Caenorhabditis elegans: one gene and its partner. The protein of the gene in region 2 interacts with the protein of the main gene of each other region in a pairwise test. Each region holds a gene or a part of one and is shown on either strand. Other genes may lie near its edges.

Region 1 (7,494 bases), on a different chromosome or scaffold from region 2:
TGGGAAAAACGGAGTTATAAAAAAATATACGCAGGTACAGAATTTGAACTTTTCTTCCCATGAGATGGGAATTTGAATATTGGCATTCAATAACTTCACTAAGAAAAAAAATCTCCAAAGGTTGATCGCAAATATGTAGAGATTGCTCGCATCCCTTCAAATATTACAAAATTTTCAAGTTTCTTAGAAATAATCTTCATTTAGATTACTGAAAAATATCCACAGATTACTTTTGAGTTGCCTGAGAAGTCAAAGTAAAACGCAAGACGAGCTCAAATGTATTTTGATAAAAGTGGCTATTTAGGCTTAAGCCGCGCCATACCGCCGGTGTGTCATAAGGATTTCCAATATTTTATTCCAGTTGGGCATCCTAGTATGTTTTTCGGGCCTTTAGGCTTAAGTGTGTCATAGGTACAGAATTCGAACCTTTCTTTACATGAGATAGGAATTTTATATCAACCAAATTAACCCTCCAGTAGAGTGGGACCTTTGATGAATATAATCACTCTGATGATATTTAATTCCGATGATTAATCCATTTTTCTTTCTCTCACATTTATGAAGTAAAAATGATTACTAAATTAAGGCGTGATATTCTAAGGTGTGATAACATATGATATTTATTTTTAAATTTAAATAAAGTTTTTTTTTTAATTTTTGCTAAAGAACGAATAGTTTACAGCCGCCTCGCTCAAATGTATTTTGATAAAAGTGGCTATTTAGGCTTAAGCCGCGCCATACCGCCGGTGTGTCATAAGGATTTCCTATATTTTATTCCAGTTGGGCACCCTAAGTCTAAATAGCTCTTTTTCTTTTCTTTTGCGCTCCAAGCGCAAGGAAAAACCTTCTTGTAACTTTTTAAGAGGGTTTCATATATTTTATTAAAATCGGGGCGAAGCCCTGATTTTAATAAAATATATGAAAAATCTCTACATAGCGTCAGTGGGGGAGCGTTAGCTAAGCCAAAAAAAAAAAAAAGCCAAAACCAAAGCCTAAGCCAAAGCACAAGCCTAAGCCCAAACCTAAGCTTTAGTCAAAGCCTGAAATCAAGCCTAAGCCTAATTCTAAGCCAAAGCCTAATCCTAATATTAAGCCTGTTCGTAAAACTAGGCCTGTTCTCGGTGAGACAACTACCCAATATTTTTCAATGTCATCAAGCTTGAAATCCGCTGGCTGGAATTAATTTGCAGAGGAATAGGCTTCACGCATTTTAATTCATTTATTGTGTTGAAATCTCTACATGAATATCTAGTAAACTCGGTTGGAACCCGTTCGGACCGGTATTTTGAAAATAAAGGGGGGGGGGGAGGTGGGAAAATTACAGCAAAATCTTGAACATTTGAATCTAGAGAAATTTAGAAAATATCGTCCATTTCCGGTAATTCTTCCAATGCTGATCGAGATTTGGGCGCATCCTTCTCATGAACTCTTTTGATGTGCTTCCTCAATTCTGATGGAACCGGATAGGATTTGTGGCAAATTGTGCATTCAAAGCGATTGGATTGTGAATGAACACGAGCCTTGTGTGTTGACAAAGCGGTGACCGTTGTGAATCGTTTTCCGCATTCAATGCAAGCATATGGATGCTTGGGCTGAAAATTTTAAATTTTAATTCATTAATTTTAAATTTTCATTCATTAAAGGTGGAGTAGCGACAGTGGGGAAATTGCTTTAAAACATGCCTATGGGGTCACAATGACCGAATATCATGATAAAAAAAATTCAAAAAAAAAATTAAAAATTTTATATGATTTTTTGAAAATTGAAAAAAAATCTCGAATTGCATCAATTTCCCATTTAAACTTCCCGCCAAGTGATTTTATCGATGGAGCGCGCTTGCTCGTTTTTATTTTAATTTATTGTTATTTTTTCTTATTTTTCGCCGATTTTTCATGTTTTCAGTGTATTTTTATGAGAAATTTGAAGAAAAAGCCAAAATAATGCAAATTCTCGATTAAAAATCAACTTTACAAGCGTAAATCTGTGAAATCAAATACTACTGGCTCCAAATCGTTTAAAAGTGGTACTTCTTCGTTTTTACGCTTGCAAAGTTGATTTTTAATCGAGAATTTGCATTATTTTGACTTTTTCTTCAAATTTCTCATAAAATTACACTGAAAACATGAAAAATCGGCGAAAAATAAGAAAAAATAACAATAAATTAAAATAAAAACGAGCAAGCGCGCTCCATCGATAAAATCACTTGGCGGGAGGTTTAAATGGGAATTTGATGCAATTCGAGATTTTTTCAATTTTCAAAAAATAATATAAAATCTAGAATTTTTTATCATGATATTCGGTCATTGTGGTACCATAGTCGTGTTTTAAAGCAATTTCCCCACTGAGCGTAGTCCACCTTTAAATTCTTATCCTTACCGATTCAGCGCTAATGTATCTCACAGCCGTGACATTTGGATCGTTCTTGGCATCTGGATGTTTTCTACCAACATGCCGGAGCATTGATTGTCGGCTCGCGAAGCTCTCTCCACACACTTGACACGATTTATCCCTATAGGAGACTGGGCTTGTGATTGGCCCAGGCTGACAGCTTGAGAATGATGCATAACTGACGGTGGAAAGAGCTGGGCTTGACGGCAAACTTTGTACTTTCAGAATCTTCGATACTCGCTGTTTTTCAATAATTTTCTCCCTATTCTTGCAGTACCATTCGTGAGTTTTGACAGATGTTGATGGGAATAGCTCCTTGCAAATCGAGCACGGCGCCTTCCATACTTCAAGTTCATCCGCATCCTCTTGATGATGCCGGATTATGTGACTTTGCAACGATTTTTCAGATTGAAAGACCAGTGAGCAGTTGTCGCATTGGATTTCCTTGAGATGGAGGGCCATATGAGCATCAAGGTTCTTCTTGCGCTTATAAGCTTTTCCGCACAGCTTACAACGATGCTTTAATCTAGACAAATCATGCACTTGATCAGTGTGAATCTGGAGAGCTTCAGCGTTCGGGAATGCTTTCGAGCACATAACGCAAGTGAAAATCGATCCAGCAGTGTGTGGCTTCAACAGAGAATCTTCCAGCTGTTGCTTTTGCTCGACTTTCCATTGTGATTGGCTCATTCGGATAAGCGATTGAAGTTCCTGGAATAAAAAGTTTCAGTTGCAAATTAAAAAAAAATAATCTTACCTTCGCCTTCTGCTCAAGCTTCTCATCTCCAGAATCGTTTAGCCTGCGCTCGATCCTTTCTTGGAGGTCTTGATAAGCGTCTTTCCGTTCGTAAGGATACTTGATTTGGACATCTTCCTCTTCCTCGTCTTCGGATTCAACTTCTTCAGCTACCTCGGGAACTCTTCGGTCTTCCGGCTCAAATTCCAATTCTTCAATGAGTTTTTGGAATTCATTGACATTTTTGTTCTTCTGAAAATAAAAAAATAAGTAAAATTGGTCGGCGGTAGTGAGAAGACCTCAGCATAAAGCATCTGAGTAGGTTTAATTTTCCCAAGTTTGAGTTTAGTTTTTTTGGTTGGTTTAATTGGTTTAATTACATTTTTGTTCGAGGATAAACATTGTCACTGACACACCCAATGGCTTCGAATAGTGTTTGCCGAAAAAACACAAGATTTGATCGAAAAAAAAGCCATTTTTAAAGAAATTTGACATTTTTTAATAAAGGATAACCGTTGAAAAGTTGTTAGCGTCCGCTTCAGAATTTGACGATGATGAGCAGCTTGTCACAGGAGTTAAATCAGCGTACGACATTGGATAATCGTAAATCTCCATTAAAAATGAAGAAATAGCGCAGAAAATTGACGAAACTGGTTGTGTGTTCACTTCGAAAATCGATGAGCGCGTGACGAAAGAGGGGGGAGACGCGTCGCGGTCGTGCGACGCGTGCAGCAATGCTTCGGTGTTTGCGGACTTGCTTACCGTATACCTGGAGAAAATTGCGATTTAAAAAAAAAATTTTACATAGTTTTTCTAGTAAAAAAAGGAAGAAAAAATGGATCTGTGCATTAATCCTTTAAATTTTCGTCCAAATATTTGATATAATTAAAAGAAAAACTCAAAATTTCTCTGAAAACCGCATATAATTTTGAAGAAACTATTACCATTAACTTTTTTTGCGCGCCGATACCCATCTGAAAAATATTGTGCACCTTTAAAAACACATTTTTAGACTGGAGAAAGAAAAAAATTCGATTTTTTTAAAACTGTTTTTGGAGAAAAAACCAAATTTTTTGAAACTACAGTACTCCTTAAAGGCGCATACCTTTTTCCGCATTTAACAAAAACAATTTTCGTGTCGAGACCCCCGGGGACCTTAGTTTTGGACTACAGTAATCTCAAAGTCCTATTCAATTGGATTGGAAAAACGAAAGGGAACAAAGAATTCTTCTTTTTTCACTTTTTCGACCTTTCTTCTCTGCGTCTCTCCGATATTCACACTATTTTTTATTTCAAAAAAGTATTGCACTTTTCATGGCCACCCACTATCTTTTTGGCGCCCAGGTGGCCTTGGGAGGGAAATTTTTTTTTTTTTTTAATTTTTCGAAAAATTTGAATTTTTATGTCTGTTTGCTTGTGTGTGTGCGTGTGTGTGTCTATAAAATGCAACAAAAATGTAGGTTCTTTTGATTTTTATGATTTTTTTGTCATTTTTTTTTTGAAATTCTTCAAGTTTTTTTTTTTTGTTTTTGCTGGTTTGTTGCTGGAAAAATGGGATATTCCAATCACAGGTATAGGGGATAGAAAAAAAGAGAAACAGAGAAAATGGGGGACAAAAAGAGAGAGGATTACCGCGTGCAGAGAGGTCGTTTGTGTGGTTTTTTGAATTTTTGTTGGAAAAATCTTTTAAAAAAATAATAGTAGGAGATTTCGAGAGAGAGAGAGAGAGCAAGTTTATTTATACAACAGTACTAATATTGAGGGGAAAATGGGAAAAAATTTTGATTTCGGGGGAATTTTTTGTTGAAAAAATCCAAAAAATCCAAAAATCCACACACAAAAAACCTCCCCGAACACAAAAATTACACCAAACAGTGGGGGGTGGGGAAAAAAAAAGACGACCTCGTAATTGTTAATGAGGGAAATAAAAATAGTTTCGAAGATCATTAAGAAGAGACTGAGAGAGAGAGTGGGATTGGGCGGCGGCGGGCGTTTCGCGGGACGAAAAATGAATCCCGCACGATGAAAAAAAAAAAATGAAAAAAAAAGGAAAAAGATAAAATAGGATATTTCAACTGTGAAAAAAAACAATAGAAAATGATGATGGGATGAGATTTTTCACAGCTCAAAAGCTTGAAACCCACAGAAAAAAAACAACGAATGGAGGGGAGGGGGGAATCATTTTTAAAAATATATATTACAGATATAAATGTGTACGTATATTATATTAAAAATGATTTTTTTTTAGAGAATAAAATACTACAGAAAACACGGCTCAAGTGAGAGTACCGAGATGATGAGACACATATTATTGGGTGGGTGGTTGCAATATTAAAGAATCGCAGATTTTTCCAGCGAATCTGATTATTCGGTCGGGGATTAGGCAGCGGACAGAGTGGGGGTGTAAATACATTGAAATATTTGAGAATCATGGGAGAGAGAGAGAGAGAGAGAGATATGCACAAAACAATGAATGACCATCAAAAAATCTCAGGAGGATTGAAAATTGGCGATGAGCAGCAGTAGCAGCAGTAGCAGAAGCAGCAGCAGAGAGTTCAAATTATAGACCGATTGTCGACGGCATCATGAACTTTTTCCGTTCCAGCAGTGTTACCGTTGACATCGAACTGAAAAAAAAATACGCGTTTTGAGAAATGTGCATTTTTTTTGTTCTTTTTCGGATATACTCCTCTGACAAAAAATAAAATTTCCTGAGCAAAGTAAAACTCCTACGTATTCTTGCATAGAAATTAAGGATCTTAAAGATTCTTGCTACTCAGAATTTTCTGAAAATTTCAATTTTTTAAAAAGAAAACTCAGAATTTTCTGAAAAATTCAATTTTTTAAAAATAAAACTTGCTCGAAATCAAATTCTCAACAAATTTTAATTTCAACAGTTTTTCAAAAACCGTGTAAAACTTTTCAAATTTGCTCTCAAAAATCAAAAAAAAAAAAAGCAAAGAAAAACTAACGAACTCTTTGATGGAATGATCTCGTGCTCCTCTAGCCGGCGATGGTTGTTGATCATCATCATCATCCACGCCATTCATCAATTTTTCCTTGAAAGCGACAGCTACCGCGTTGGCAACAACAACTGCATGCTGTTCTTGTGGCGTATAGCCACCCCATTCGGTTGATGAATTCGATTCTGATGGTGATCCACTCGGCTCTCTCCAATCATCTGAGTCCGACACCGTTCCGCACATCTGCAAAAAAGAAAATAGGAAAATGGGAATTTATTCGACTTTTTTCAAGATTTTTCAAGACAAGTTTAAAAAAAAATTCAAAATTGCTATAAAGGTGGTGTCTGTCGAATTTTTTAAAATTACTTTATTAGACTCAAAATTGTCTGAAAACACCGAATTTCATGATGAAACTTCTTAAAAACTTCTCAAAAAAAAGTTATGATGGCTCAAAAAATGGCCTAAAATAGTTAAAATTGGAAATTTGACTTGTCGCAGCGGCTGGAAACTAACTTTTTTAAAACCACAGTCAAATTTTGGGTATAAATGTCAATTATCTTGCGTTTTCAACTCGATTTAGGTAGTTTAAAGTCAATGGACGGCGAGAAAATGGACGGCTTTTAATTTTTTAACCAAATCTTGCCGTCCATCGACTTGAAAATACCAAAAATCGAGTTGAAAACGCAAAATAATTAAATTTTATACTCAAAATTTGACGGTGATTTCAAAAAAAAAAATTGTTTCCAGCCGTTGCGACAAGTCAAATTTCAAATTTTAACAAATTTTAGGTCATTTTTTGAGCCGTCATAACTTTTTTTTGAGAAGTTTCCAAGAAGTTTCATTATAAAATTCGGTGTTTTCAGACAATTTTGAGTCTTATAAAGCAATAAAAAAAATTCGACAACACCAAGTTTAATGACAGAATACCGTCCCAATATAGCGAATATAACTGTTAAAAAAATTAAAAAATGTTTCTAAATTTTTTAAAATGATTTTTTATATATTTTTGCAAAATAAAAAATAAAAAGGGCCAAATTATTTTTGAACTCCCGCGCAAAAAATTTGAAGCATAATTTGTCAATATTCCAGACATTTTTAATTTATTAAATGTTAAATTCAGGAATGACACAGAAACGCGGAAAAAATCGCGAGAAAATGAAAAATCCAACTTAAAAAAAAAACGGGATTTTTCAATTTTGACTAATTTCCATTCAAAATGAGAGCTCCCTGGCCAATCAGAGTTCTCATTTTGGAGGGAATTCGCATTTTTAAGAATCGTATTTTTAAAAGTGGGATTTTTTCCTTCTTTTTCGAGTATTTAAAAAAAAAGCCTCACTACCTTTGCCGGAACCGGCGTCGGTTCCGCTCTGTCCGCTCTTCCGTTTCCCGAAAGCGGCGGCGAAAGTT
Region 2 (9,863 bases):
ATTAATTGAAAAAACTATGATAAAGGGGAAACGGCGTTTAATGAGAAGCAGTTCAATTATCTTTCAAACTTATGTTTTGCTGATAAAATTGAAACACAAGAATACTTCAGCACATTTGTTTATTCACAAGTAGGTTATTCAATACACAAAAAAGATCAATACACGGCGTTCAGTTAATCTTAATCAGTCCATCATCAATTGTGTAGTCCAACGTTTCCTCCTCTAACAATTCAACTGATTCTTTCAACGCTTTTATCATGATTTCAGCGTTAAAGTCGTCATCATTCTGTGCACGCATCGATTTGAATACAATAGTCATCCATGGCAAGTTTTGGAGAAATGTTTCAGTGGCAAAGTGCTGAGAAATGTAATTTTAAAAAACAATAGAAGATTTTGCAATTTAACTAACCAATTTAAGCTTAGTCAGAAATCTCTGTGCTTTGTTTTCCCGGTAGCAGCTTAATCCTAGATCGATAAGCAAAATATAAAATAAGCTCTCAAAGTCGTCGCTTTTTCGATAATCACCGCCACAAGCGATGTTGAATGAACAACGTCGTTCATCAGCAAGTAGTACCTTGTACGTTTTATCGATGCAGTTACGCCTTTTTCGAGTTTTGAATCTTTTGCTCAATCCGAAATCAATAAGCTTTATTGGATTAATCTGAAAAATATAGAAAGTTGATAATTGAAAAAAAAATGGAAAAAAAATGATTTTCGAAGCCTTCTAACCTCACGTTTTGATTAAACTGTTGATTGAAACAAAAATTGATTGGAATATTGATTTTTCGGCACGGATACTACATAAAAATGTTTGAAAAAATTATATTATAACCTTATCAATTGGAACCGGAACCATCAGATTTTGTTCGTGCAAATCAGCGTGGAAAAAGCCAATGGAGTGAAGAGTACTCAAGGAACGGGAGACTGCACATCCAACTGTCGCGACATTTTTACGATTGAAAACTAAATTTTTGTTTCTTTTTCTAATGTCATTAAGATTGTCTCCTTCGTCGCTTAAGACTGAAACAAATATTAAGTGTTATCGGACAAGGTGAAACTCACCAATTGCATAATATCCGTCAACTTGAAAATTCTCACAAAATTGGGGAAATCCATTTCTTTTTGAATTACCAAGAGAGTCCAGTTTGCGAAAAACTGATAGCTCCGTCTTGAATGATTTTTCTCGTTGACTCCCGTGAACAAATTTAACAAGCTTAATTACTTTTTCTTTGTTCAGTTCTTCCATATCGTTTACAGCAACAATACTTCCATACGATCCTTCACCAATTAAGTAACTTACATAGTACTCTTTGACAACTTTTCCTACCAAATCAACCATCTGAAAACGTGATACAGTAATTGTAAACTAATTTCCCTTAGGTTTTCAGCTAAAATAAACATTTCAAAAAAATTACATTTACTATAGAAAAACCGAGAAATTCAAACAAATCGAAAAGGGAGAGTTTGAAGAAAACCGCGGAAAGTGTAAGTTTAAAATTAAGAAATGATTTATTTCAAAACTGACATTTCACGTGAATGCGTGAAATACATTTGATTTAATTTTTGACTTTTTTTCAATTTCTTTGAAATAAATGGCTATCATTGAAGACCGGTGAGTACCCTGCACATAAAGTGACGTGTTTGAAATTTTTTACAGAACCTGGAATCTAGGTCACAGAGTTGTTTGTAGTAACGGACTTGAAACATTAGGGATTTGCTTAACCAAATTTTACCTTTCAGATGTTTCTGTTTCGGGTGAAAATACAGACCAATAACTGGTTTTCATGGGGGTTGTATGCTCCTTTGCAGCTGGGGCAAACATAAAAAATTACGGAGCTTGGAAAATTTGGCAAATCTACTTTTTTGAAATTTACCGTGTTTGGCAAATTTGCCGCACATCCATGCTTTGCACCTTACATTAAAATGTTGTTATTCAGATATTCAGCCGAATACCTTTTTTTAAACTACTATGCATTATTATAACTTCATCTGTGTCAGTGTATTATGTTTGATTTTCAATTTGCTGAGAACAGAAAAAAGATCACCTTGTCATTCTATAGTGGCAAAAAACATTTGGTGTAAAACGGAATAATAGATAGATATGACATAACACGGATTTTAAAGGGTAAAACAATATTATAAGATCAATTTAATTTACAGTTATATGATTTTTCGAACAATGTCTGTTCCAGTTAATCATAATTTTAAACCATAGGATCTTCTGGGGCTTCAATAACTTCATGTTCCAAATGGCCTTGTACTTCAGGATGTTCAATGTGTTCCTCGTGTCTTCCCAGTTCCTCGTGTCCGACAAGATGATTACCAGGATGCACAACAAGTTCTTCTTGCATGTATTCGACACCTTCCTCCACAATCTCTTGGTCGCCAGAGAAAATGTCCACGTGGAATGTCTCATTGATCATTTGGAGCAAGCGCTGCTCGTTCTTTTCGTATAATAGTCGGAACAAGCTGTCAAAAGTGTCATCAATGCACTCCGAACCAAACTGTTTTTGCGCAATTCGCCAAAGAGCATCATATCGCTGAGATCCACGAACAAATCCAGCAGTAGTCTGAAAATTGAGAATTTAAAAAACGAATCAATTATACAAACACTAACCACGCTTTTCTCCAAAAATGGATTTCTTCTCATCATTGATTGCCCATAGACGTCTCCAACTTCTTCAATGTGCTCGACAATCATGTCTCCTCCAATCATCATTTCGTGACCCATGATTGTTTTTGGAATTTGCTCTTCAATCACCACCTCTTCCACAGTCTCAGTTTTAGCCGATGTCGATGGTCCTGCACCATCAGCTCCGGTCCATTCAGTGACAAAAGTGTCGTTGTCAGCATGAGAACCAGAAAGTTCTCGCCGTTTGAGACTGAACAACATATTTGGACTAATATGAATTCCATGTTCCTGATGAATTATCTTCGCTGTTTCATTTACTGGGGCAGTTTTCAGCAAATGGAACACATCCTCTCTGATGTTTGATGGAAGGCTGCTGAACCATTCATCAGTCGAAGGTTGAATAGTCTTCTGAATTGGCTGTGGCACAGCTCCGGGCTCAGTGTAGCTGTACATGATCAAACCGTGTCCATACTGGTTTCCGTCTCGTTGCACATAGACAACTTTTTTGCGAAGCCGTGTGCAGCGGGGCAATGTTGCAGTGTAAATGTGCAACTGGAATTCAATCGGATCCACGGCCAGAGCATTCCCCTTGCAGACTCGCAGTTGATTGTGACGATTGAATCCGAGCGGAGTTTTTGATGATTTCGGCCTTTTGGTTATTCCATCTGAAACTAATGGAGCTTGCGGGAAGTTACTCAACACGTCTATGAAAATTTTTGTAAAAAATTCATAAGACTTACGAGGATTAGAGCAAGTGTTTTCTGACCACGGAGTCAGTTTATCTGTGGTCAATGATCTAAAGTTGACTTCTTCTCCGTTCACAAAAAAGACAAATGTTCCTTTTCCAGTTATCGATGGTGGAAGATCGGGAACTTTTGTGTTGAGGCATCCGAGTTGTTCACTGAAATTACTTTTTTTAAGCTTAGCTTTTCTATTTTTCTTTCAATCAACTTACACCAAATCAGATTGATTGACCAAGTACTGAATCTGTCGGTTCCGGTCATTCCAGAATTCCAAGTCATCGAGCTGTAGGTAAAACGTCCCATCAGCAGCAGTCTCTGCAGGCAATATGAATGGGCAATCTCTGCTCTCTTCGCCTTCCGAGACATCATTCATCAAATCATGCTGCATATGATTCTGTAATTATTGTATTGTTATTAAGTCAAAATCTTATGATGTTAGAAACATACGGTTCTAGCGTAACTCCTCTTAGTGAGTGGCTTGTATTGGCCAGCGTTGAGACGTGGGATGTTGCCTTCATGGTTGTAGTCGTACATAATCAATGCATGACTGACAACCATTTTTGATTGGGTTTCCATCAGGTAGTAGATCTGAAAACCAAATTATTAGTTTATAAAAATCAAATAACATTGTTTAAAACACCTTTTTTCGCAGTCTAGGCTCCTTTGGATTAATCGAATACAAGTAGACGAGATGGAATGGACAAGTTTTGTAGTTGGTATTTTCTTTCAGCTTAAAAACAGTTTACGTTTAAAACAATAGTGCCAGTAAATATTCCATACCAAAAACGTTGAATTTTGAGGATCGCAAATCACTCCAAGCTTTCGAACTTTTGTACGATAGCAGGTCGGCTGATCAGGCGTTCCGTTGCGAGACCATGGTGAGAAGTCGTCGCGATTAATGTCATGGGGGAATATGGCAGTACCGGCTACAAAAAAGGCGTAGGCCCTAGAGTTGGTGACCAATGGTGGGTGAGACGGTTTCGTGTCGTTCAGGACACCACGCTCCTCACTGAAATATTTGAAAATAGTTGAAAATCAAACTGATTACATTTTCAAGAACTTACACAATGTTCGAATTTGCAATCCATTCGAGAACATGATCCATGACGGTAACCAACTTTTTATGACGAACAGTCAAGTATACGTGACCCGTTGACAAAACACGGGGCTCATCATAGTATGCATTCGGATTCTCGGCTTTATCAATCGGATCATCATTGAATTCTGGATCAAATCCGTTGTTCAGCGTATCGGGATACGTTAGAAGGTTCTCCATCTGATCATCCTCCTGCTGAACGAGCATTTCCTTGTGAACGTCAACGACATCAACGATTCCGTCATCGTCAACAGGAATCATATCATATGAATCCTGCTCTACCATCATGTGAGAGTGCATGTCCATTGAATTGACCGGCTTTTTCAGTGGTGATCCTCCTGACCATCTACTGTAACTCTTCGCGTCCAATGGTGGGTAGAAGGTTGGCAACGGACCGTCGTAAACAAACTCATACGTGTAGCAGACATTTCCATGAATAACAGCGCCGGCTTGTTGGATATAGAAAACCTGAAATGATTGAAGAATTGCAATGTACAATATTTTTTATGACATTATTTATGACTACTGCACTATAATTTCAGTTCCGTCAACGGTCTGATAATTTAGCAGCAACAACCCCAGGTGGTGTATGCCCTTTCATTTTGTTAAATATTGCACAGCGTGTGGTGTAGATTTACGACGCAAAATTTAAGTACGCAAATTTAAGTACGCAAACTTAAGTACGCAAATGTGCGTCGTGGTACTTGCGGACTGTTGGTTAACTTACCCTCTTTCTCACTCTTTTGCATCTGGCAAGTGTCGACATTGTCTCTACGAGAATATAGTCGGATGGAGTTTTCTGGTCTCTTGATACCATAAAGTGATTGTGAGCTTCGTCCAATATCAAGTTCTTCTTTGTTGACCGCACACGCACTGTCGGTGTTCCTTCGCCAGCGCCTGCTGAAATTTATCAAAATTAAAACGGTTAAACGACCGCATATTGGTGCTTCGCAAACAGCAACTCACGATTAGTGGTCCATGGAGATAAGCCATCAGCAGCGTGGTGAATTTGGTTGACAACATGACAGGCCGGAACAAAATATGCAAAGACTCCGACCGTCTCAATCAGTGGCGGAAGATCTGGGAGGCGATTGTTTAGAGCGCCAAGTTCATCCAGAATGTCAACTTTATTGAATAAATAATCCAGCAAGTTTTTCTTGTTCTGAGCCCATCCCAATTTGTTCGGACGCAACCTGAGGTAGACTCCAGCTCCACGGGTTCCTTCTATGCGTTGCGGCTCAAACTGAAAGCATAAAATTATAAATGAGGTAACCAATTATATAATTACAAACCGGCAAATCATTGTCAAATCCATCTTGATCATCTGTGACTGCTCTTCGCAGATGATCATTGCCATGAGGAAGGCATACTGGGATTGGGGCATTTCCTGGATTCACATAATCATACAGAATAAGCACATTTCCAAAGATTTGATTGTCACGGGTCAGGTAGAAAATCTGGAAAGAAAATCAATGTTGTGTTCAAATATCTTCAGTTTAGCTACCTTTTTTCTCAGTCTCTGCTCCCGAGGTAATCTAGCGCTGTACTCCGTTAAGTGATACTCAGCGAGACGTGTCTCATGCTTGACTGTCTTCAGCTCGCCATTGAGTCGAGCCACCGGGTGTCTTCGAACATTTGGCTTGATTGTGTTTGGGCCGCCAGTCGTGTTCTGATGATCATTTGTCACACTCCACGGACGGAGGTCATCGTTGGAGAGATCTTTAGCATTTTTCTGCTGACTACCATCCACGTAGAATGCGAAGCATACTTTGTCGGTGACAAGTGGAGGAAGACGTGGTGGTCTTGGAAGAAACCATCCTGCTTGCTTTCTGAAAATTTATAATGTGCTTAGATTATTGATATCGCATTGCAACAGTTGTCATTTTTCACTTACATCAACTCAATTTCGTCCGGGTTTGTGAGGAGATCAATAATCCGCTCCTTTCTCAGCAGCTCAGTCAGGCACCCATTCACCACGGTTGCATAGGACTCTCCGCCGGGGGTTGTATCCAACTCTTCCTCAAATAGCTTAATATGCCTTTGATTAGCAGTGGCGGTTCTAGCAGCAACTGGCTCAGTTGGTGGGGCTCGCTGAGCTTTTGAAGCTGGACGGGTCAGTTTCAATTTAACATTGGTCTCCAGCTGCTCTTGTGGTCGACGTGGACGTCCTCTTCGCTTGCTCAATCTGTAAAAAAAATTAAAGTTTTGTCATTACATAATGGATTTACGTACGGGTGCCTTTCAAGATCTGGAGGGTGAGCAAAGTCATTAACACTATAGTCTTCGTCGCTTTCCCTGTAACTTTCAGGTTCAGTTTCAAAAACAGTAGATGGCCCGAGCACTGGAGGTCCTTCGTCATTGTGAGGAACCTCAAATTCCATTGCAACTTCCAGGTTGGCTCCATCAGTCATCAACTGATCATCGAATTTTGGAGTCTGTAATTAAGAAAAAAGGATTATTTAAGAACAAAGGTTTTCTGTGTTTCTCACTTGATTTGAGTTCGCCCTATGTGCAACTGGTGTCTCCATCATTTCAGCAACATGAGGAGGAATCTTTCTTCTTTTCGCTCCTTTCAGCATATCAGGCATCATAGCAGTTGAGTTTTTATCGGTTCCAGTAGATACCTCTGAAACAGCACTGGTCCTATTTGGAGTTCTTGAAACTGATGGAGTCCGTTCGGGAGGTGCAGCAGGCGCTGAATTCACAAGCTCATAGTTCTCGTTGTCGTATAGAGTGTTTTTGCGAATATTTCGCCGTGGTCTGGACGATTGTACAGTGGTGTCCTTTGCAGATTCCTCAGGACACATCGGCAGAGGTTTCTGAATTTTATTTTGTGTTGCATTTTTAGCTTCATCTGTTTTTTTTTGTTTTCACAATTCTCTCATAATGCTTCGCAACTTTAAATTGAGAGAGAATTTTTCAATGGCGTCATTATCGGTGTCTACAGACTAAAAATTGCGGAAATTTTCAAAGCCTAAACAGTTTTACCTCTTCTCCGGCTGGCGTTTCTTCGGACGGTTGTGCAGCACTTTTTGTTGAGTTTCGGCGAGGCATTTCTAAACTGAATAAGTTGAAAATTGACAAAAAATAGCTTGAAATATGAAAAAAAACGATGTGAAAAGAAGGAAAGAATAACTGGCCGGCTGACGCGCAAGGCGAGTGGCGAGAGAGCGCGTTAGATGACAAAACGAGGTAAGAGAGTGTGGTAAACGGAGAGACCGTTCACTTGCTGTTTCGCGCGCATTCACACCCCTCTCCCTATCGGTGTGAGTTGGAGCGTATTTGCATTGTTTGTTGGTGATCGACAATGTTGGGCAATTGTCGAAGAATCAACCCAATAAATTTAGCAGAACTTAAATAGGGCTATGTGGTGAGGATGATAAACTTGTATGTGTAATTTGAGTGACAAGATTCAAAAATCTTACGTATTTTTCTACAAACCTTCTTTAAATTTACAATTTTTGCATCCTAAATGTGGTACTAATTAAATTGGGCGCCCTCCTTTCACAAATAGAAAAGTCTACAAAAAAAGAAAACTCACGTTCACACGTTTCGAGTACAATTGACATTTGGTTTAAGTTGTGATTGCCATTATTACTCATTAATTTTAAAAAAATCCTCAAAGTGCAAGATAAGTAAATTTAGCAACAGATAATGCAACAGATGTGCTCCATAAAAAACTTTTATGGCAAAATTTAGAAAGTTGTAGGGAGATTAATATTTTGACACCCAAGACTACACAAAGTATGTACTTTAAAAACCCATAATTGTTTTCATTAGTAACATTTATAAAACATGTTTAAAAAATTTATTCTAGATTAACTGACAATTGTTAAACTGCAAAGGAGGTGGTTAAAGAAGTTTCACATTGCATCATAGTCTTCTTCGTTGAAGTAGATATTGAATTTGTCGATCAACTTCTAAAATATAAAATTATCATTGTTTTTCGAAATTAAATCAAATTGAAACCTGTTGATCCTCGTCCAAAGAAATGTCGAATGTAGCTTTTGGTGGAACATGCTTTCTGAAAATGGCAGTGAAAATTTTATTTACATGCAATTTTAAATTTTTTGATGAAATCTGATTTTTTTATCTTTAAAAACATATTAAACTAACTTATTTTTCAACGCTTTTGACATAGCTTTATCCAAGACAAACAGCTGCTTCACTGCTTCATAATTGGGTTCATCTTTGAATTCGAGCATGCGGCACGATTGAAGCATATCGTTAATCGGCTGTATTCCACAAAGTGAACAACTTTTTTGATTGCCTTGTTTCAAGTTGAAATAGTTTCTATGAGTATCATCATTGTTCACACTCCGTCCTTCTTTCCAGCACATAGTGAGGTCAAGTATTTTCCTCAAAGAATAAACCAAGGACTCCATGTCATCTCTTCGGGTATTTCCTGTAATTAGATAGTTCGAACAAAAAATATTTGGTTTAACCTTTCGTCTTGGTATTGTTAATAGAATTTTTTTTGAAAAAGCTGAATTCTCAATCAGAAGTGCTGATACAAAAGCAAACAAAAAACTCTTACCAAAACATTGTTCATGGTGCTGATTGGCACTCATGTAAACATAAGTTCCTTTTCGATAATGGCGATTATGTACCTCTCGGTGATTTCCTCTATCATCAAGAAACGATTCTGCTAATCCAAAGTCGATGAGCTAAAGGTATAGTTATATTGACTATATGTGTCAAATTGTTCAAATAATCATGAGTTCACAAAACATTTAAGGTAGAAGTAACATACATTAAGCTGATTCTTTTTTTCATTGAGACCAAATGCAAAATTTGCTGGTTTTATATCACAGTGAACGATCCCCCTATCATGTATTGTGTGAAGCAAATCGATCATTTGTCTTGCCAAGTGAAAAGCTTCCGGAACTTCCAGTTTTCCGCCGTACAATTCAGCATACTCAAGTAAGTTTAATCCCAATAAGTCGAGTTGCAAAATAGTTGCGTTTTGCTCTGTCCGGCGGATAGCAATCTGGAGGTCACGAGTTCAAATCCGGTCTCACCCCCTAGGTTCACCCAGCCTCTATTTGGAAGTGGAGCAATCCACGACTGGATTATCGGCCACAGTCCCCGGCTAGGACGTGGCTAAAATTATAGCCCAGTGGGATCACTAGTGTACCTGAATCCCAGATCCGCAGTGCATATCACTTGAAGAACGGATCGTCCTTTATTTTTAATGTTTTAAAATGACTCCTTTTAACACACTTACCATCACCCTCGATTGACAAAATCGACTCGCTTGACAAATTTTCCCTGAAAGTACAAAAAAAATTAGAGATACACATACATATTTTCAAATAAAAACTGCTGGAAACTTTTTGATAATGATGACAAAAACTGTTATAATAGTCATATAAAATTGAGAGTTAAAAAA

The links. The genes of interacting proteins can lie anywhere in the genome.
Region 1: the proteins of F16B12.6 (region 2) and gldi-8 interact in a two-hybrid assay, tested with the Caenorhabditis elegans proteins (one large-scale study listed by BioGRID).

What each region holds. Positions count from the first base shown.
Region 1 is NC_003281.10:12,594,790-12,602,283, forward strand, and holds gldi-8 (C2H2-type domain-containing protein), read right to left. Parts: upstream 3,896-7,494; 5' UTR 3,740-3,895; coding exon 3,638-3,739; exon of another isoform or gene 3,377-3,637; coding exon 3,146-3,376; intron 3,100-3,145; coding exon 2,377-3,099; intron 1,593-2,376; coding exon 1,356-1,592; 3' UTR 1,205-1,355; downstream 1-1,204. Other genes in the region: epc-1 (Enhancer of polycomb-like protein), read right to left, coding at 5,685-5,751, 6,101-6,330, 7,427-7,494.
Region 2 is NC_003284.9:14,100,021-14,109,883, reverse strand, and holds F16B12.6 (DUF7747 domain-containing protein), read right to left. Parts: upstream 7,569-9,863; 5' UTR 7,526-7,568; coding exon 7,460-7,525; intron 7,291-7,459; coding exon 6,961-7,290; intron 6,907-6,960; coding exon 6,704-6,906; intron 6,657-6,703; coding exon 6,366-6,656; intron 6,301-6,365; coding exon 5,976-6,300; intron 5,929-5,975; coding exon 5,764-5,928; intron 5,715-5,763; coding exon 5,438-5,714; intron 5,372-5,437; coding exon 5,199-5,371; intron 4,940-5,198; coding exon 4,440-4,939; intron 4,385-4,439; coding exon 4,156-4,384; intron 4,106-4,155; coding exon 4,016-4,105; intron 3,964-4,015; coding exon 3,823-3,963; intron 3,770-3,822; coding exon 3,588-3,769; intron 3,534-3,587; coding exon 3,373-3,533; intron 3,298-3,372; coding exon 2,618-3,297; intron 2,571-2,617; coding exon 2,205-2,570; 3' UTR 1,971-2,204; downstream 1-1,970. Other genes in the region: F16B12.7 (Protein kinase domain-containing protein), read right to left, coding at 170-358, 410-661, 833-1,020, 1,063-1,339.